Arabidopsis thaliana: one gene and its partner. Each later gene encodes a partner of the first gene's protein in a complex. Each region holds a gene or a part of one and is shown in the gene's direction. Other genes may lie near its edges.

The links.
Region 2: VPS41 (region 1) and EMB2754 share a complex: the UniProt entries of both Arabidopsis thaliana proteins name them as parts of the homotypic fusion and vacuole protein sorting (HOPS) complex.

The regions. Positions count from the first base shown.
Region 1 is NC_003070.9:2,562,349-2,572,579, forward strand, and holds the start of VPS41 (vacuolar protein sorting 41), read left to right. Parts: upstream 1-5,071; 5' UTR 5,072-5,303; coding exon 5,304-5,573; intron 5,574-5,812; coding exon 5,813-6,085; intron 6,086-6,163; coding exon 6,164-6,343; intron 6,344-6,439; coding exon 6,440-6,697; intron 6,698-6,799; coding exon 6,800-6,932; intron 6,933-7,020; coding exon 7,021-7,111; intron 7,112-7,207; coding exon 7,208-7,310; intron 7,311-7,670; coding exon 7,671-7,774; intron 7,775-7,859; coding exon 7,860-7,953; intron 7,954-8,124; coding exon 8,125-8,280; intron 8,281-8,359; coding exon 8,360-8,422; intron 8,423-8,529; coding exon 8,530-8,595; intron 8,596-8,916; coding exon 8,917-9,144; intron 9,145-9,235; coding exon 9,236-9,313; intron 9,314-9,401; coding exon 9,402-9,521; intron 9,522-9,649; coding exon 9,650-9,730; intron 9,731-9,843; coding exon 9,844-9,929; intron 9,930-10,147; coding exon 10,148-10,229; intron 10,230-10,231. Other genes in the region: AT1G08170 (Histone superfamily protein), read right to left, coding at 593-1,324; AT1G08180 (cyclin-dependent kinase inhibitor), read right to left, coding at 2,393-2,728. UniProt on the Arabidopsis thaliana protein: Required for vacuolar assembly and vacuolar traffic.
Region 2 is NC_003075.7:17,271,018-17,281,248, reverse strand, and holds EMB2754 (Vacuolar sorting protein 39), read left to right. Parts: upstream 1-4,622; 5' UTR 4,623-4,724; coding exon 4,725-5,139; intron 5,140-5,215; coding exon 5,216-5,427; intron 5,428-5,514; coding exon 5,515-5,646; intron 5,647-5,744; coding exon 5,745-5,888; intron 5,889-6,086; coding exon 6,087-6,199; intron 6,200-6,306; coding exon 6,307-6,742; intron 6,743-6,931; coding exon 6,932-7,261; intron 7,262-7,434; coding exon 7,435-7,656; intron 7,657-7,740; coding exon 7,741-7,983; intron 7,984-8,234; coding exon 8,235-8,690; coding exon of another isoform or gene 8,691-8,738; exon of another isoform or gene 8,739-8,772; intron 8,773-8,781; coding exon 8,782-8,880; intron 8,881-8,960; coding exon 8,961-9,161; 3' UTR 9,162-9,485; downstream 9,486-10,231. Other genes in the region: AT4G36640 (Sec14p-like phosphatidylinositol transfer family protein), read left to right, coding at 2,802-2,861, 2,948-3,124, 3,225-3,323, 3,408-3,653, 3,760-4,062. UniProt on the Arabidopsis thaliana protein: Essential protein required during embryogenesis. Believed to act in part as a component of the putative HOPS endosomal tethering complex. HOPS is required for the central vacuole formation.

The DNA.
Region 1 (10,231 bases):
CTACATATCGAATAACTTATGGTATATTCCTTTTGGTGGTGCTGCTTATGCATATATTGTTGTTATGCATTCTGAGTTGGTTGTGTGTTTTTATGGTACAAAAACACATATATACTCAGACACGTTCTCATGTATGTGTATCAATATATGTAGAGGTTGGGGTGGAGAAGGTCAAGGAGAAAGGATCTTTCAAGGGATATGCGGCGACCAACTTCAATGCTCAGCATGTAGTGAGTACTTTTTACTTTTACCTTTTCCATAGTTCCCATTATCTTTTCCCTTATTCTGCATCACTTGTCAATGGCTCTGTTTCTACAAACACACACAAGATCAAATTACTTTAGTGGATGTCACTAATTTTAACGACACAACAAATGTAAGAGAACAAAATATGAAAGCTAAATAAACCACGATTCAAATGATCAAGTCCATCTCCATTTTCAACAACATAACATATATTCTACAGAACATGTAACATAAAACGAAATACAACTATAGAAACCATACTCTCTAAGTTAAACCTTACACTAACAGTCAAGTTGAAAAAAACATTACACGAAAAAAGATACAACGATTAGGGAATCAAAACCAACTAACGTTTCCTACTATCATAACCAACGAAGTTACTAACAGCTTTAGAGCCTTCAGCGACAGCGTGGCGGCTAAGTTCACCAGGCAGAACCAACCTAACCGCTGCTTCGATCTCCCTCGAAGACAACGTCCTCCGCTTTGTATAATCGCTTAACCTCGCTGCCTCCTGCGCTATCCTCTCGAACATATCTCCCATGAACATGTTCACCACCGTCATCGCCTTCGACGTTATACCTAAATCCGGATGCACTTGCTTCATCACCTTATACACATATCTCCTATACTCATCTCCCGCCAAATCGTCTCTCTTCTTCTTTTTCTTCTTCTTCTTATTCTCCTGCTTCTTCTCAACCTTATCTGTTTTCTTCAAAGTGCCTTCACTCTTGGAAGCGGGAGTTTCCGGTGGCTGAGGTGAAGGTTCATCTCGAACCTCCACCGGAGTCTCCGGCGGCTGAGGTGAACTTTCATCTCGATCATCCACCGGAATCTTAACGGTGGTAACGTTTTCTCCGACGGGAAGTGACCGTTCGTCTGGAACCTCCACTGGAATCTCAACGGTAGTAACGTTTTCTCCGACGGGAATGGAGAAAGTGAGATCTTGCGTCTCTTGATCGTTCGCTGTCTCGGTGATCACACACGGATCTCCTTCTTCCGTGACGGTTACTTTGATTGTCTCTTCCACTACTTTCTTCTTCTTCGTCACGGAAACAACCTTTGGTTTTCTCGGCGCCATATTCTTCGTTAGAAATAACCGAAAATGTTATGTGGTTAAGATTTAAAAAGGGCGTTTTGGGATGGGTCGTAACAGTACTTCTGCGATTGACATGTGGTGCCACGTGTCGTTCGAATACCTTAGCATTGGTGATTAACTGTCTACTACGCGGTGGTTATAAAAACTAAAAAGTAAGAAAAACTTATCCGGTGATTCGTATCTGTTTTAAATAACTAGCCCAAAGCCCGGTGGGCATATAAATGGGCTTAAATGACTAGATCTAAACGGGTCTCAAAAGCCCAATACAACATCCTTAACCGTACTTAATTTTACACAATATAATTTTTGTTTTCCATTATATATTTTTAATGAAATTATATGTGACCAAACGACACCACGATCACCCTTTCACCAGCACCAGTTTAGAAAAGAATTTCGTTCCCATAAACAATGTAATTAGGTTTCATTCCATTTCATTACAAATTTGAAACATGTTTGGACTGGCCGCTAATTATCTGATCGCTAAAAAACTTTTTTTTTCTAGTTCGTATTGTATTTTTCTTTCTATTTCATGGTTTTGTGGTAGCAGAAAAAAAAAAGGATCTCAGATATAAAGAACGTTGGGACTTAGGAGAGAGTAATTAGGGACGAGTAATTATTATCATAACACAGATATCATTATGAATCTAATCTTTAATTTATAAATTATGTCATGTTCGATGTCTGAATCATTCAATGCCAATTTTTTTACTAACAAAAAAAAATCACTACCAAACCAAAGTAATTATGTTTTTAACCCTAAACACCTAAAGATAGATGGTTATCATAATTCACCTACTAGTCTCCCATTCATATCTCTAAGTTCTTAACCCTGCTAAATCTTAGAAACAAAATCATATCCCACCATTTTTACAAAAAAAAAGAAGAAGATCGATATATACAAAATCATGTACAGAACCAGAGTTAAAATCCCATAAGAAAATACGAATTCGGACTAAAGATTTATTAAAATAGGTATATAAAAGTGATCGAAAATTATGTGTAAATCAAGTAAAGAAAGAAGAGTATATCTACAGAATCAAATTTGATTCAGGCACTATTACTCCTTCGTTTCTTACGGACATGGTTTGGTTCGTGAACAAATAAAGTCTCTACCTCTTGGCTCCCGACGTCGGTGGCTTCAAAGAACCGAAGATCTTTGGACAATCTTGTCTTCTTTGTGAGAGAAATCTCACGCGGTCGCTTTCTTGGCGGCGGAGGACACGTCTCCACCTCCGGAATCTTGTGATCACTTGAAGTTGGAGTACACAGAGATTCTAACAACTCTTCTTTCTTCGAGCTATCTTGATGATCTTCTTCTTCTTGGCTTCTGGGTTTCTGCTCTACTGTCTTTTCTTCTTCTAGGGTCTCGAGAAGCTTAGACATGGTCACATGGATGTGAAAGTTTCGTGGGCTTTTACCTTCCAAAGGAAAGAATATTAATTTGAAAGTGAAATTGGAATATAGAAAGTGATATCATATAGGTAGAGAGAGAGAGAGAGAGAAAAAAGAAGGGGATTAAAGAGTTTGTATTTTGCGAAAATGTACATGTATGAATTAATCTTGAATATTCGGATATTCAATGCTTTTTGTGCAACTTAATTGTCTTGGGAATTAGAAGTGAAACTTTTCAACTGCCCCTATGTCCAAACCTATAGAAATACTATGCCGGAGTCAATTAGTTAGTTAGATTCATTTGTGTTTACTGTTTAACGTAATTAATTTGAATATAAGTTTGGTTAATTACCCTTGTTACCTATTAAAACTTGAATGTTAACGGAGAAGCTTATCCAAATTAATGTCTCATGTGTCACATCATTCTTCGATTGTATGTCTAAATACGTACAAATGGTTGGCATAGGATACCATTTCATCAACTTAAAAATAATATTTTCATTTCATAATTGATGTCCACTTTCCGACTCGCCCCTTTGGAATTATTCGCTCCTTCGCAGCCTACTATATAAACCAATCAGATACCGCCATGTCATCCTCCACTGATTTGTGTTCGAGAATTGCTCATGTTACTGTAGTCTTTTCTCCATGAACAAAATTACTTACAACTTACAAGGCTAAATGATGTTTGATAGGTTTAACATTTTAATTACTCTGTGCTCTATATAAGTCCACAATTTGAATAATCAAACTGAAACCTGTATTTTAAGTTTGTCCCCCCATTGAAGTAAGTATATGGTTATGTTGGCATTTAGTGTTTGCATCGAATGGTCGTTTATGTCAATGAAAGACGTCCCGTCGCTGCCATTGAACGTACGTAATAAGCATTAAATCTTAACAGTGTGATGCAAAATTTCTCTTATAGCTCATCATCCTCTTTTTTTTTTCTTAAGAATTTGTTGCATGTGAAGATATTTGGTCACTAGAGTATCGTTTCTATAGATGTTCAAGACAGTAGTAGTTGGAAGGCCGTATTGAAAACAGTCTGAGATGGTAGAAAGAAAATCTTATTTTACATTGATCTAATATATGAAGACTCTTCTGATGATGCATATATATATTTCCAACTTCGTTTGCGCTTTATTCCTACGGATTGTCAAACTTTTAAGAGAAATATGTTGTCCTTTTAGGTTGTTATTGGTCATCAGGGAGATGTAGGGGCCATGACTGTACATTCTTTTTGGCCTATCAAAACTCGATTCTCTTTTTTAACTCATTGGATTCGTGCTGATCATGCTCTTTGAGAATGTATTCTTATAGTCAAATTCAAAACTGTTGTAGTTAACATTTGTTAAACAATTAATGGCTTTAAAGTCATACTTTTGATACCTACTAAAATAAAACGTTATTAATTATGTTGCAAATGGTTAGAAGGTGTAAGATATACAATGCAATTTGGTTAGGATTCCAGAAAAGGCTAAAGAACAGTGACACTACTAGCAAAAGTGAAAAAAAAAACATGGCCATATTTATGTATACAAAGTCTACGCTTAAGAGGAAAATGAAGGCAACAGTAAAATAGTGAAGAAAATGACAATCTTATAACTAAGAAGATAGAGACATATAACCCCATTTAGTAAAGAGGAAAGTTGTAATGAGAATGGAAAAAATAAAACCTAGAGACTCAGTTAATGGGTTGAAATTTCAGGCTAAAATATGTTTCGTCTTCTTGTACGACTACATATAACACACATAACAAAACTAAAACTCGTAAGGTGTATGTGTGAAACTAGTTGTGTATATACATAAGAACAAATGGTGAAAACCAGTAGTTAGGGATAGATCTCTGTCCAAACATATTCTTGATCGATCTTAGATCAATCATGCACTCATAGAGATCTACTTCGTTTGTTTGTTTATTAGACTCATTATCTCTATGAGTGATTGAGTATTATATGAATCCGTTTCTAAACAAAGATGCCGAAGGAGTTGATGTTGGGGTCTGATCGCGCCAGAAAACTTAGGTTTTTCTCTCTGTGTTTGAACCAAAAGTCGTGGTAACTCTGTCTCAAAGAATCTAATAAATCTCTAATTAGACCGTTTGTAAGTAAAAGAAAAAAAGCTTCAAGTTCAATGAAAAATAAAGATAATGATTGGGACTTTTAGGTTTGTTTGTGCTTCTTTAATTATTTTCTAACAACCTTTTATAGAAAAAAAACTCTAGACTAGTGAAAATTCGGAGAGTTTCATGTTGCTGCGACTACACCACGTCTCTATCTAAACAGAAAAGGGTCAGGTAAAGGAGATTAATGTAACAATCGCACACGTGGCACCTTTTTCTTTGTCGCCTTCCAAATCATTAATTAAATTTCCATTTATTTATTTTCTCTGCTGTCATCACCAATAATTTTAATTTAATTTTTACCAAAACCAGAATCAAAATTTTGAACGGAGAAGAAGATTGAATTCAGAAAGGAAGAGGCAGATCTGTTATTCTCTGTTGAAGTCTGATTGATCTGATCGGAGCTATTGCGGAGGAGGGGTTTACTGCAATTGCACGGTGGTAATGGCTGCGGTTCCGCCTGAAAACGGCGTGGACGGAGATGACGAAAGAGAGGAAGAAGAAGAGGACGAGGAGGAGGAAGAAGAAGAAGAAGAAGAAGAGAACGGAGATGAGGCTGAGGAGGAGCCACGTCTCAAATATCAGAGGATGGGTGGCAACGTTCCTGCGTTGCTATCTAACGATGCTGCTTCCTGCATCGCTGTTGCTGCGAGGATGATCGCGCTTGGTACGCACGACGGTACCGTGCGTATCCTCGATTTATTGGGGAATCAGGCAAGTTTTCCATTGATTTTTGGAATTTCGGGTCTATTTCAACATTGTACAAGTTTTAGTGTCAATTTCAACATTTTAGGAGTTTTAGTGTTTTGGTGATACTCCTCTAATGATGATGACCTGAGGTCGATAGATGTTAGGCTTTATTGGTTGGTGGTGGAACAGTTTAGTTAGTTTGCTTTAGCTATAGTTTTGTCAAAGTTCAATTTTTTTTGTTTTGTTTATGATGCTTTGTTCAGGTTAAAGAATTTCGTGCCCACACTGCTCCGGTTAATGACATCAACTTTGACACTGAGGGAGAGTATATCGGAAGCTGTTCAGACGATGGGTCTGTTGTTATAAACAGCCTTTTCACTGATGATGAGAAGATGAAATTTGATTATCATCGCCCCATGAAGGCCATTTCCTTGGATCCAGATTATACGAAAAAGCAATCTAAGAGATTTGTAGCTGGTGGCTTGGCTGGTCACTTGTATATGAACTCCAAGAAGTGGTTCGGTAATAAAGATCAGGTTTGTGAGAATGTGGGTAGATTACGTTTTGGAATAGAATCTACTCACCGTGAATTTGATAAGAGGCTAGTTTTGTAGGTGCTGCATTCTGGGGAAGGTCCAATTCATTCTGTGAAGTGGAGAGGAAGTCTCATCGCCTGGGCTAATGATGTTGGTGTTAAAGTTTATGATACAGCCAAAGATCAGCGTGTTACATTTATTGAAAAACCGCGAGGAAGCCCCAGGCCTGAGGCTTTACTACCCCACTTGGTTTGGCAGGTTCGTATAAATAACTCATTTTGTCAGATTACTTCTTTGATTGTGAATTCATATGTAACAGCGTTGATTTGAAGGGTTATTTTTTATTGTTTCCAGGATGACACTCTCCTTGTGATTGGTTGGGGAACATCAGTTAAAATTGCGTCGATTAAATCAGACCAGCAACAAACTGGAACTTTTAGGCAGATTCAGATGTCTAGTCTAACCCAAGTAGATATTGTGGCATCTTTCCAAACCAGCTATTACATTTCAGGGATTGCTCCCTTTGGTGATTCTCTGGTTATTCTTGCTTATATACCCATTGAAGGAGATGGTGAGAAGGAATTTAGCAGCACCACTACTCTATCGCGTCAGGTACTCTCTTTGTGGTGGTTTTGGTGTTGGGTATGAGATATAGGGACATAAATTTTGGCATGTCTTTTGGGAAGTGGTTGAGTCTGATTTTAAGTAATCCAGGGAAATGCCCAGAGGCCTGAAATACGCATTGTATCATGGAACAATGATGAACTCACAATGGATGCTCTTCCTGTACACGGCTTTGAGCATTACAAGGCGAAAGACTATTCCCTTGCTCATGCTCCTTTCCCAGGTCAGAGATTTGTTGGAAAGTAGTTTGTTTTCTAGGGGAAGGAAAGCATATGTTTGAATACTTACTCGGAAAATTGATGTGAGTGTAGGTAGTAGCTACGCTGGGGGACAGTGGGCAGCTGGTGATGAACCACTGTACTATATTGTTTCGCCAAAGGATGTTGTGATTGCCAAACCCAGGTAGATTTTTGTGGTCACTATTTCTTGTCCATGTTATTCTATTGCTTTGTAAATGAACCTTGCGGTCGCTAACTTATTCTGTTTTTTACTTGTTAGGGATGCTGAAGATCACATAAACTGGCTTTTGCAACATGGATTCCACGAGAAAGCCCTAGCAGCTGTTGAGGCTAGTGAAGGACGAACCGAACTAATTGATAAGGTACTTTTTCGAAAATAGGCGTTGAACCTTTTATTTGTCTTCGCATTATGGTTCATTCTTTCGCTCTTTACTGTTCTCTACTAAAATTGGATGAATGCATAGGAAAGTGTTTTTTTCCGTCATATTTTTTATTTTTCTATATGCAATATTTCATGATCTCGACATTCAAAAAACACACTTTAGTTTGGAATTACCCTTTTCAAAAAAGAAAAAAAAGAATTACCCTTTTCGTTATACCAAAGGATTCTCTGTTCAGATGTTTCATAAGCCTGGAAAATCTTGTTCGAGAAACCAACTGTTAAGTTCTCTTTTCTTTATTGTATAAACGATTTTCAATTCTAACACAAACGAGTTATCTAGGTGGGAGCTGGGTATCTTGATCATTTGATTGTGGAAAGAAAATATGCTGAAGCGGCATCTTTATGCCCCAAATTGTTACGAGGATCTGCTTCAGCCTGGGAGAGGTTTGAACAAATTTGTATCTCTTCTTTGCAAAGTGTTTGTTTTGGTTGTTTTGTACTTTATCTAACATCATGTGTCTCTTTTCAGGTGGGTTTTCCATTTTGCTCAACTACGCCAGCTGCCTGTTCTTGTCCCATATATGCCTACGGATAACCCAAGGCTTAAGGATACTGTGTATGAGGTTTGTATATATCAACAACTTTCTACAGATAGGCTTAAATGAAAATATTTTATTTCATAGAAATTTTAAAATAGATAAGTAAAAAAAAAAACTTTTCTTGTAAACGCAAACATTTGTTTGAAACAGTGGAGGCATAAGATTTATCTTGAAGTTTATTTCTTTACGATGCAGGTTGCTCTAGTTGCACTAGCAACCAATCCCTCATACCACAAGGAGCTTTTGTCAGCGGTTAAATCTTGGCCACGTTCTGTATATTCTGCTTTGACTGTTATCTCAGCAATAGAGCCTCAACTGAACACATCTTCAATGACAGATGCCCTCAAAGAGGTCAGCATTGTCTGTCATGTTAAGCTGAGGTTTATTAACATTTACGGATTCAGAGTTGTTTTATTATTTCATGTATCAGGCGCTGGCAGAGCTGTATGTAATTGATGGACAGTATCAGAAGGCCTTCTCCCTATATGCTGATGTACGTATGTACTAAGAAAGTATTTGTAAAATTATCTTCCCAGATCGTATTCAGGCCTCCTTCCGTTGATAGTCACCTAAAATTTCCTTTTCCTTTTTTATCTCCAGCTTCTCAAACCAGAAGTGTTTGACTTCATTGAGAAATACAGCTTGCATGAGGCGATTCGCGGAAAGGTATACCAGATTTTTTTTTTCACAGTTTGAGACTTCTAACATTATGTAGGCTTTTCCTGGACGATCCACAATTTAATCATCATCATTAATGTTAGCATCTTAGGGGTTCATGAATTTTTTCTTAGATATAGGTACAACTTCTGTGTAATACATAATTCAAACAAATCTGGAGATCCACAGCTGATTCCAATTTAAAGTTATGGGATGGTCTTGTGAGTAGTATTATCTTGGGATTTAGGCATATCTACTGCTATTTTGTTATGGCCTCAGAATTCTGCAATACAGACCGGTGAACTTTGTTTTCCTTATCTAATTGTGTAGGTGGTCCAGTTAATGTTGCTTGATTGCAAGCGTGCCACTGTCTTATTTATCCAAAATAGGGATTTGATTCCTCCATCTGAAGTTGTTCCACAACTTCTGAAGGCTGGCAAAAATCCACAAGTTCTGAAAGCTGGCAAAAAATGTGATTCAAGATATTACTTGTACTTATATCTGCATGCATTATTTGAAGTTAGTCATGATACCGGGAAGGATTTTCATGATATGCAGGTATGTGTAGTTAACTTGATATATGGAATGAATTTTTCCATTCTCTTTCTCTTTTGCTTAAATATTTTCTTAAAATGATTACATATTGTAGGTAGAACTCTATGCAGAATACGATACTAAGATGCTGCTTCCGTTCCTACGTAGCAGTCAACATTACAAGTTAGAAAAGGTACTTAACATTACAAGCAACCCAGCTTACTGAAATGAACTATCTCTGGGTTATGTCTTTGTGAACTTGATCTATTGCAATATCTCAGGCATATGAACTTTGTGTCAAGAAAGATTTTTTAAGAGAGCAAGTGTTTGTCCTGGGAAGGATGGGAAATGCAAAACAAGCTCTTGCAGTCATCATAAATAAACTGGGAGATATAGAAGAGGTGATTGTTACTGTGTGTTCAGTAACTGCTCTTTTTTCCGCAACCCCTTGTACACTCTAATTGATGTCTTTCTGACTGGTAATTAATAAAACAAGCTATGGTGGTTGACTTTGATTGATATTCTGCAGGCTGTGGAATTTGTGTCCATGCAGCACGATGATGATCTATGGGAAGAGCTGATTAAACAATGTCTAAACAAGCCTGAGATGGTAAAAGCTGTATTTGTGATGCAAATCACAACACAAACCAGTCTTGATTCTGGGAAACTTGTGTCCATGTAGTACTGTTTCCTTAATCTTCTGTTCTTTTCCACCAATTTTAGGTGGGCTTGCTGTTGGAGCACACAGTTGGCAACCTCGACCCTCTTTACATTGTAAATATGGTCCCAAATGGCTTGGAAATACCTCGGTTAGTTTTAACTATTACCCCTCATTGCTGTTACTCTATTCATGAGTTGGTTCAATCACGTGTTCTTACTTAAATAAACATCGACCCTCATCTATGTGATGCCAAACCTGTTGGTTTACCCAAAGCTAAGTTCGCACACAGAGCATTGGCAGAATCATATGCTTCCTGAACACTTTTCATCAAAATAATGTTCTCCTCATTGTTTCTTCTGCTTTCAGATTAAGGGATCGATTGGTCAAAATCGTAACAGATTACAGAACTGAGACATCTCTTAGACACGGTTGCAATGACATTCTCAAGGT
Region 2 (10,231 bases), on another chromosome or scaffold:
GCATTGATCATTGTTTGATATCATACAACTCTGTGGTGTTACTACTTCAAATTAGTTCTATTTGATGATTTTATATATAAATTTCAAGTTTGATTTATATCTAATTTGGTTTTATTAAACTCTTGCAACCGTGGGCTTTCCGTCTTCAGGATGCTTCAAGTGGGGTGGAATATTGGAGCGACCATATTAGAAATGATTCTCGGTAGCCCATGGAGTTGATCCAAATAGGCAAGGTTTGTGCTAATAGATCTGTAAGCTCAAAATGGTAGAGCTCTCATTATGAGAGGTTGGTGGTTCGAATCCATCCAGATCTGTCGACTTTCTATCCTCTTTTACCTTTATCATGTCATTGTATAACACAATATTTCAAATCTATGTGTGTTGAATATGATCTGCCGATGTTATTGCTAAAACCAGGGCAGCCGTAAAAGGGCCTCTGTAAAATTTAGCATCTGCCACGGAGGAAGGTGGAATTGATCATTTTTAAAGCAACGGCGTCTAAACATGGACTGACATCCTAAGTCCTAACTAGTTGTGTTATTTGGACTACAAGCAATAAGCAAGGAGCATAATTCACTTAACAGTAATAAAAAAACATACTAATGAAAGATGACTGCAAAACTCTGTTAATCATTGTTGGGTTATGATATTTATCAAGGCTAACTCATTCACCATCTCTATGTATTCGTCATTTCTTAGTTGATAAAGAATATTTTTATAATATAAAAAAAAAGTTAAGGTAATTAATTTCATATTTTTTAAAGGAACTTTAAAAATTCATGTACTTTCTTAAACAAACAATGTCATATTGAATATATGGTTTAAATATGTTATATATAGAGGTGGACAATCCGGTTTACTTGGTTTGGTTTTTAGGTTTTAGAAAGAGTGAAAACCAGTGTTACATTTTCGTTTTGCTATAATGCTAGTTTTTTTTTTTTTTTTTTTTTTTTTAAAACCTAGTATTAATAATTTCTAATAATAATTTGTGTGATACAGACTATTCAATATTATAAATACCTTTCATTCATATAGATAACATTATGCATATAAAGTTTTGTTAAATTCCAGTTGATTGAGGTCGGCAACATTTGAATACTAATATTTTTTATGTGGTAACAAGTAACAACAACAATTTAACAACAACTGATAAGATGTTCTTTCGATTATATGAAGAAAACGTCGACTCCAAATACAGAGAAACTATCAATATAAAATAACATTATTCTCAGTGTATACCTATTTGATAGAAGACCAATATATATCTTGGTAGAAGAGATGATATGAAAGTATCAGATTAAGAAAAGATTTGGTGTCGGATTAACGTCACATGGTGTTATTTTAAATTGTATGCCATTTAATAATCGTCCATTGTCAATGCTGTTAATATAATACAAAACCAAATATATGTTAACTAACATAGTCCAGGAACCGTTTAATTTGATTAAACCAAATCATACGCACATGATTGCGATGATAAACCGAATCTTTAATATTATAAAAATCAATAGATCGAGTAAAACGTTACATTTTAATTATTATTATTAGCTGATGCTGTCCTTTATGGACTTTTCTTCTTCGTTTTTTTGTTCTTCTACCTAAAACCATGAAAGAGTGGTTTGCACATAAATACATAATGAATATAGTATGAAAAAACTGTTACATTTTTTTAATTATTTTGAAGCTAATTAGTGAACTCAATAAGTTTTCTAATCATAATTTACCTGTTCTCTATCGTGACACAATAAACAAAGACAGATAAGAGTTAGTTAAACGTGAAAGAAGGTTAGAATTTTGGAAAATGACCAAATTTGTTATTACTTCACCAAATTCGGATCTTGTCCTCTTGTCATAAAATCATTTCAGATCTGAGTTATTTGGTCCAACGCCAATACTGAAAATTAATGTTATTAAAGTAAATCATATTTATTATTTTCAACCAATGGGGCCTTTCACAATAACAAACAAAGGGCCAGCTTTAAAGTTTTATTGAAATTTTACATGCCACATAAATTGGTTAAAATACATTTTCTTCACGTTTCTCGCTTTTTAAGTCCCTTTGAAGTGGGAATGATACTCGCGTGACGACCAAACTCCATCGAGCCTCTCTCTCTCTCTCTGTGATCAGTTTAATCTACTGAAAGAAAGAAAGAAAGAAAGAAAGATCCGTATTATTAGGTAAGAATGAGATTCCCTTTTACGTTTCGATTTTGATTCGTTTGTGTTTGATTCTCGATCGTTTTGCTTCGATTTAGCTTCCTTCTGTTTTTACAAGTCTCTCTTGATTAGAAATGTTTAGGTTTCAATGTTTCATGATCATATTTAGAAAAAAGTTTCATGGTGACCAAAAAAGAAAGAAAATTTTGATGGCTGAGAGATGTCAGAGTCTTGTTTTGTTTTTTTGATAAATTCTCTGTTTGTGTGCTTTTAAAAAGTCAAATATAAGAAATTCTTTGAATCATTTAAAGCCGTATTTATGTCCTTTTGACAAGTCGATTTAATGCTTTCTAGAAGAGAGTTTATCAGATGTTAAGAAGATTCAAAGTTGGATTATAACGAAAATTTGTATACCTCATTAGAGATTTTTCAAGTGGTAAATACTAATAGAATTCATGATCCCGTTTTAGATGTAAGATTTGGTTGTGTTTATCAGTTTTCTATTAATAGCCGATATTATTAAAACCTTTTGCTTAATCTTGGATCTGATTTAATTTGCTTTAAATTGGACTTGAAAGAAATCTGAATTTGATTTGATCGTTTCTAGGCTTCGAAGCTGTCTCAAGATTGTTGTTTAATTAAACATGTTCAGAAGAAGGAATGCTCACCAACTCGACAATGATGATTCTCAACAAGATAACAAGGTACAATAAGCTGCTTCTTTTTCACACTATATGAAAACATTAACATATATTTTGGAAAGTATTTAAAACACTTGTACAAATTTCAGGTTAGAGAATTGAAATCCGCGATAGGACCATTATCGGGACATAGTTTAGTTTTCTGCTCTGATGCTTCCTTGAGGAGATTTCTAGATGCTCGTAATTGGGATGTGGAAAAAGCCAAGAAAATGATCCAAGAGACTCTTAAATGGAGATCAACTTATAAACCTCAAGAGATCCGTTGGGTAAATATTTGACTTTATTATATACTTCATTTTAATCTTCTTGTTACTTTGTATTTTTTTCTTACTTTTTTTTTAATCATCTTCTTCTGATTCTCTTCAGAATCAAGTAGCACATGAAGGTGAGACCGGAAAAGCTTCAAGAGCTAGTTTTCATGATCGACAAGGTAGAGTAGTGCTTATAATGAGACCAGCCATGCAGGTAACTAAGCCCATTGTCACCTTTATGAATATTTTTCTTGAGTTTTTTTTAAAAATGATATCTCACTTAATAAAAATGAAACAGAACTCAACATCACAAGAAGGTAATATCAGGCATTTGGTGTATCTTCTTGAAAATGCAATCATAAATCTTCCCAAGGGACAAAAACAAATGTCTTGGCTCATTGATTTCACTGGTTGGTCTATGGCTGTTAATCCTCCTATGAAAACAACACGCGAAATCATTCACATTCTACAGAACTATTACCCTGAGAGACTCGGTATCGCCTTTCTCTACAATCCACCAAGACTCTTCCAAGCAGTCTACAGGGTACACAAAAAAAACATTCGTCATTATTACAAAACCATCAAAATTGTCTCTCTTCTCTTTTTCTTTAAAAAGGTTTACTATATACCTACTATATTCTTTCATGTAGGCTGCTAAGTACTTCTTGGACCCACGTACAGCTGAAAAGGTGAAATTTGTGTACCCAAAAGACAAAGCAAGTGATGAACTGATGACGACACATTTTGACGTTGAGAATCTCCCCAAGGAATTCGGAGGTGAAGCAACACTAGAGTATGATCATGAAGATTTCTCACGACAAATGTATGAAGACGATCTCAAAACCGCAAAATACTGGGGACTAGAGGGGAAGCACTATCCGAAAACAAACGGTTTCTCTCCATCCGATGTTGTTCCTGAGCCGGCGATAGAAATCGCATCAGCAGCTAGCTGAGAGTTGAACGATATATACACACAAGAGCAAGAAGAGAAGAAGAATAAAAGGGTTATTCTCATTCATAGAAGAAAAGCCAATAGAATGTGCTGGTTAACTTGATGATCAATAAAGTTTCAAATAGTCTTTGCCTCTTTTTCTTATTAGTGAGCCAAACACTTTGTAACGTTTTTAATTAGCAGAGACTATCCTGTATGTGTGAGAGAATATTGTTACCATGTGTAATACTACTAGTTTTGTGTTATTAGTTGAAGATATGAGATTATCCTTTTAGTTCTATTGTTTCTCAAGTTAAATACAGTTATGATGAAATCAGAGAAGTTATTGTCGTCTAGTGAGGTGATGATCAAATCTTAGACTTTAAATATAATATTAAACTTTAAATATAATATTGAACTTAAAGAGAACAAAAGGTCCCGTAGCTCAGTTGGTTAGAGCGTTGGTCTTATGAGCCGAAGGTCGCGGGTTCGAGCCCCGCCGGGACCATTTGTCCTTAATTCATTTAAATTTTTAAATTTTACGATTTTTTCCTTTTTTTTCATAATTTATCAACGCACGTTGTGAAAAAAATAAAAAATCAATCATCTCTGTTGTAATTGGATTTTGAACATGATGAATGCGTGGTGATTCCCAGAAGAAGAACCCAGAAATCGATCGAAGATATGGTTCACAACGCTTATGATTCGTTTCAGCTTCTCAAAGATTGTCCCGCTAGGATCGATGCTGTTGAATCCTACGGCTCCAAGCTCTTCGCTGGATGTTATGACGGTTCTCTCCGCATTTACTCTCCACCGGAATCTTCTGCCTCCGATCCGTCGGAGCTGCATCAAGAGACTTACGTGCTAGAGAAGACGGTAGCTGGATTCTCTAAGAAACCGATTGTGGCGATGGAGGTTTTGGCTTCGAGAGAGTTGCTTTTGTCTCTCTCTGAGTCAATTGCGTTTCATGGACTTCCTAATTTGGAGACTGTTGCTGTGATTACTAAAGCTAAAGGTGCTAATGCTTATTCTTGGGATGATCGGCGTGGGTTCTTGTGTTTCTCTAGGCAAAAGAGAGTCTGTGTTTTCAAGCACGATGGTAAAAATCTCTGAAACTCAACTTTGAATCATGAGGATTGGATTTTGATGAAATGTTGTTTCTGTTGATTTTTTAGGAGGAGGAGGATTTGTAGAGGTCAGAGACTATGGAGTTCCTGATACTGTCAAGTCTATTTCTTGGTGTGGAGAAAACATCTGTTTAGGCATTAAGAAAGAGTATGTGATACTTAATACTGCTAATGGGACTCTCTCTGAGGTGTTTCCTTCTGGTAGGGTTGCTCCTCCTCTCGTGATATCTCTACCTTCTGGTGAACTTATTTTGGGAAAGGTAGTTATGCTTTTCCTTTTTCCCCCATTCAATGTATTTGTTCGGTTTTGAAATGTTGTCTTCATTAGTTTCTTCTTGTACATGTAGGAGAACATTGGAGTTTTTGTTGATCAAAATGGGAAGCTCCTTCAAACAGAGAGAATCTGTTGGTCAGAGGCCCCAACGTCTATTGTCATTCAAAACCCTTATGCGATAGCCTTGTTACCTCGTCGAGTTGAGGTATATAAGGTTCCTGCCTAGAGATATTGTAGTTTTGCTTTCCTTCTAGTTTCTGGATACCTGTTATGTGCTTATTCCTTTTGGCTTTGTTTTGATAGGTTCGCTTGCTCCGAAGTCCATATCCTTTAATACAGACAATTGTTCTTCAAAACATTCGTCGCCTGGTCAAGAGCAACAATGCTGTGATTGTTGGTTTGGATAACTCTGTTTATGTTCTCTTCCCTGTCTCTATTGGTGCCCAGGTATTCACTTTAGCCCTGAGAATATTGATGTTTCTTGCTGCTGCTCATGGTTTCTTGTGGATGAATATGAAAATGTGTTTCATTTTACCTAATATATCGGTTGAATATGACACTATTTCAGTATTCTTTGTAAAGACTTTGATTTTACTCGCAGTAGCTGCTTTTGAAATATTTTGAAAAGGTTGAGTTTCATTGTAGATTGTGCAATTAACAGCTTCGGGAAATTTTGAGGAAGCCTTAGCTCTATGCAAAGTACTCCCCCCTGATGAGTCAAGCCTACGAGCTGCGAAAGAGAGTTCAATTCACACAAGGTGTGTAAAGCTAGAAGCCCTCTCTTCCTTCTACTAGTTACACATTAATAGTGCAGTTCCATGGGAATCTTTTTGTTCATATTTGTTGTCTCGTTATCATGATACAGATTTGCTCATTATCTTTTTGAGAACGGGAGCTATGAGGAAGCCATGGAACACTTCCTCGCATCTCAAGTAGATATCACGCATGTACTTTCCATGTATCCATCCATCATTCTTCCTAAAACAACTATTATTCCTCAACCAGATAAGATGGTGGACATTTCTGGTGATGAAGCATCTCTGTCAAGAGGTTCATCCGGCATTTCAGATGATATGGAGTCTTCATCTCCTCGATATTTTTTGGAATCTGAGGACAATGCAGACCTTGAATCTAAGAAAATGAGTCACAACACTTTGATGGCTCTTATAAAGTACTTGCTGAAGAGGAGGCCGGCTGTTATCGAGAAGGCCACTTCTGAAGGAACAGAAGAGGTCATTTCGGATGCTGTTGGTAAAACTTACGGGGCAAATGATTCATCTAAGTCTAAGAAGTCCAGCAAGGTGCAGATGATTTATCTTCCGCGATACCTAATTGATGACTAGTTCTTGGATATTAACACTTTATAAGCTTTTGGGAGCTACTGACTGACTAATTCCTTGGAAGTTGATGCATGGATAATATAAGCAGCTTCCCTTGATTTGTACGTTTGATAGTAATTTGTTGGGGACTTAACATCTTTTTTTCTGCAGGGACGTGGTATGATCCCTCTTAATTCAGGTGCAAGAGAGATGGCAGCAATCCTTGATACAGCTCTTCTCCAAGCACTTCTACACACTGGCCAGTCTGGAGCTGCTATAGAGTTATTAAAGGGTGTCAACTACAGTGACGTTAAGATTTGTGAGGAGATTCTCATGAAAAGTAAAAATTATTCTGCACTATTAGAACTGTTCAAGAGCAATTCGATGCACCATGAAGCCCTTAAGCTTCTTAACCAGCTGGCGGATGAGTCTAAAACAAACCAGTCACAAACTGATGTTACACAGATATTTAGTCCTGAGTTGATCATCGAATATCTCAAGGCAGGTTTTCTCGGTGCTAACCTTTCGTCTTTGTCTATCTTTAGATTCTAAATGGTTATAGAAAACTACAAATTTGTTAACCACCTTTGATTTTGGTACTGACTGAAAATAATGAGTATTCTAAGAAACAGCTGTGAGATGCTAACTTTCTGTTGGTGGATTTCTCTCTGCAGCCTCTCTGCAGGACTGATCCAATGCTTGTCTTGGAGTATTCTATGCTTGTCCTGGAAAGCTGTCCAACTCAAACCATCGACTTGTTTTTGTCTGGAAATATCTCAGCTGACCTTGTCAATTCGTATCTGAAGCAGCATGCTCCAAATATGCAGGGTAGATATTTAGAACTTATGATGGCAATGAATGACACCGCAGTTTCTGGAAATCTCCAAAACGAGATGGTGAGGAAACCACACTTATGGGAAGCATTTTCAGTGAGTTTACGTTACATATTGCTGGCAGTAACAATTTGGATGATGTTACAGGTACAAATCTATCTTTCAGAAGTGCTTGACTTGTATGCTGCAAAGAGTGCGCAGCAGAAATGGGATGAGAAGGATCATCCTCCTGAAAGGAAAAAACTATTGTCTGCGTTAGAGAGCATCTCCGGATATAGTCCGCAGCCTTTGTTGAAGCGTCTTCCACGTGATGCTCTCTATGAAGAGCGTGCAGTTATATTGGGCAAAATGAACCAACATGAGCTTGCTTTGTCCATCTATGTTCATAAGGTACCCATCAACATGAGCTTGCTTTGTCGATCTTTAACATGAACCAAATATCATTAATTTATTTCACCAAATAATCTTCTAATTGTTGGCCAGTTGTGGTAAAAAACACTTTGATATGCAAATGCATTGTTAGATAATTGTATCATTGTGTAGATAAGTATACTCTGAAACTATTTAGAACTCAGATATCGGTGGATTCTATGGAGTGTTGTTGCTTATGGCTTAACTCTTTGTTTTTTTCTTTCTGATAGCTTCATGCACCTGATCTGGCGCTGGCTTACTGTGATCGTATATATGAGTCTGTTACTTATCTACCATCTGGAAAACCGTCAAGCAATATCTACCTCACAGTGCTGCAAATATACCTGAATCCTAAGAAAAGCGCAAAAGACTTTGCAAAACGAATTGTAGCTCTAGGATCATTCGAAAGTTCAGACACCACAAAAATGATGGACTCTGTTTTATCTTCAAAAGCTAAAGGAGGCCGATCCAAGAAAATTGTTGCAATAGAAGGCGCTGAGGATATGCGAGTTGGTCTCAGTAGCAGCACTGACAGTGGAAGAAGCGATGTTGATACTGAAGAACCCTTGGAAGAAGGAGACTCCACCGTTATGATCTCTGAAGTTCTTGATCTGTTGAGCCAAAGGTGGGAGAGGATCAACGGTGCACAAGCCCTCAAGCTTTTGCCTAGAGAAACTAAACTCCATGTAAATGTTTTGAATCTGACTTATACTTATCCCATAACTACTTACTAGCATTTTATTGAAGCTCACCTATTCTATTATCCAATTCCTACAGAACCTGCTTCCGTTTCTTGCACCCCTTCTAAGAAATTCAAGTGAAGCTCACAGAAACTTTTCAGTCATCAAGAGTTTGAGGCAGAGTGAAAACTTACAGGTATGTTTGTGTTTCTGGAACTATTGACACCTAGCATTAAAAGAAACCCGTATGTGAAATTGATGATGTGAAACGAATAGGTGAAAGAGGAACTATACAAACATAGGAAAGGAGTAGCGCAAGTAACAAGCGAAAGCATGTGCTCATTGTGCAACAAGAAGATAGGGACAAGCGTATTTGCTGTTTATCCCAACGGGAAAACGTTAGTTCACTTTGTATGCTTCAGAGATTCTCAAGGCATGAAAGCTGTTTCTAAGACAACACATGGAAGAAGACGATGAGGTAATCATCAATTACTGTAACAAAGAGAGGTTTAAGACACTAAACCATCTTTTCTTTTTTACAAAACTCCCAAAGTGCAATTAAAGAAAAAGCTCCTTTCGTGTTGTTTGTCTGTTTATAGAGAGAGATTTGGAGCTACTTTTTTGGTGTTTTCTTCTGTGGTTTTTTGTGTTTGGTTCAAAATGATGGTCTTGACTCTTGACAAAACCAGTTTGGCTCTTGTTGTAAAATCTGTTAGTTTATATAAAGACTTTTCATTTTTGTGTAATTGGGACTTGTCGAAGAAAATAACGAATGTTAGTGCGAAATCTAACAACATTCAACCAAATGAAGGTGATATGATGGGCCAAGAAACGTGGGCTGGATTAGGCGTTATCAGGCTTCAACAGCTCAGTTAGATTATAATAAGATTAGAAGTCACGTGAGTGAAGAGACATGACATGTAATGTGAAATTACGAAGTCGAACACTTTGCGTCTTGGGGTAATCGTTAGGGTTAGGTTTCGTGTTCTACGAAGCAAAGAGCATAAGAGACAGAGAGGCATCTTTTGGGAAAGCGGTGGTCGCCGTATCTCAATTGAACCAAAAATTAACCAATCTCAAGACCGATCCGATTCTCTTTGTTCCCTCTCTCTCTGGGTCTCTTGGTGTTCTTTTAATCTTTTTTACTCTTTCCCGTTTCACGCATTTTGTCCACTCGTGTTTGGCGGCACACGACATCCTCCAACAAGATTATTGAATTGATATTCTTAAAACTCATCAATTTGATTGTTTTCCTTTTGTTGAACGAGTGAGGTTTATAGAAAACACAGTTGATATTTCATGTTTGTAATAAAATGAAATGAATGTTGGTAAATAAGATAATGAAACTCAAATAATAGTATATATAAACATAAAACGTACAATTTATTTATTCTTAATATTTTTTTTTTTAGTTGAGAGCTTATAAAATTAGTATAAAAACGTTACACATTTTGACGTACCCCATTACGATAATTGATCCAAAAATGGGTCGGCCGATCAAATTTAAAATTATTTGATACAAAACCTTACTTTGAAAGCAAAAAAAA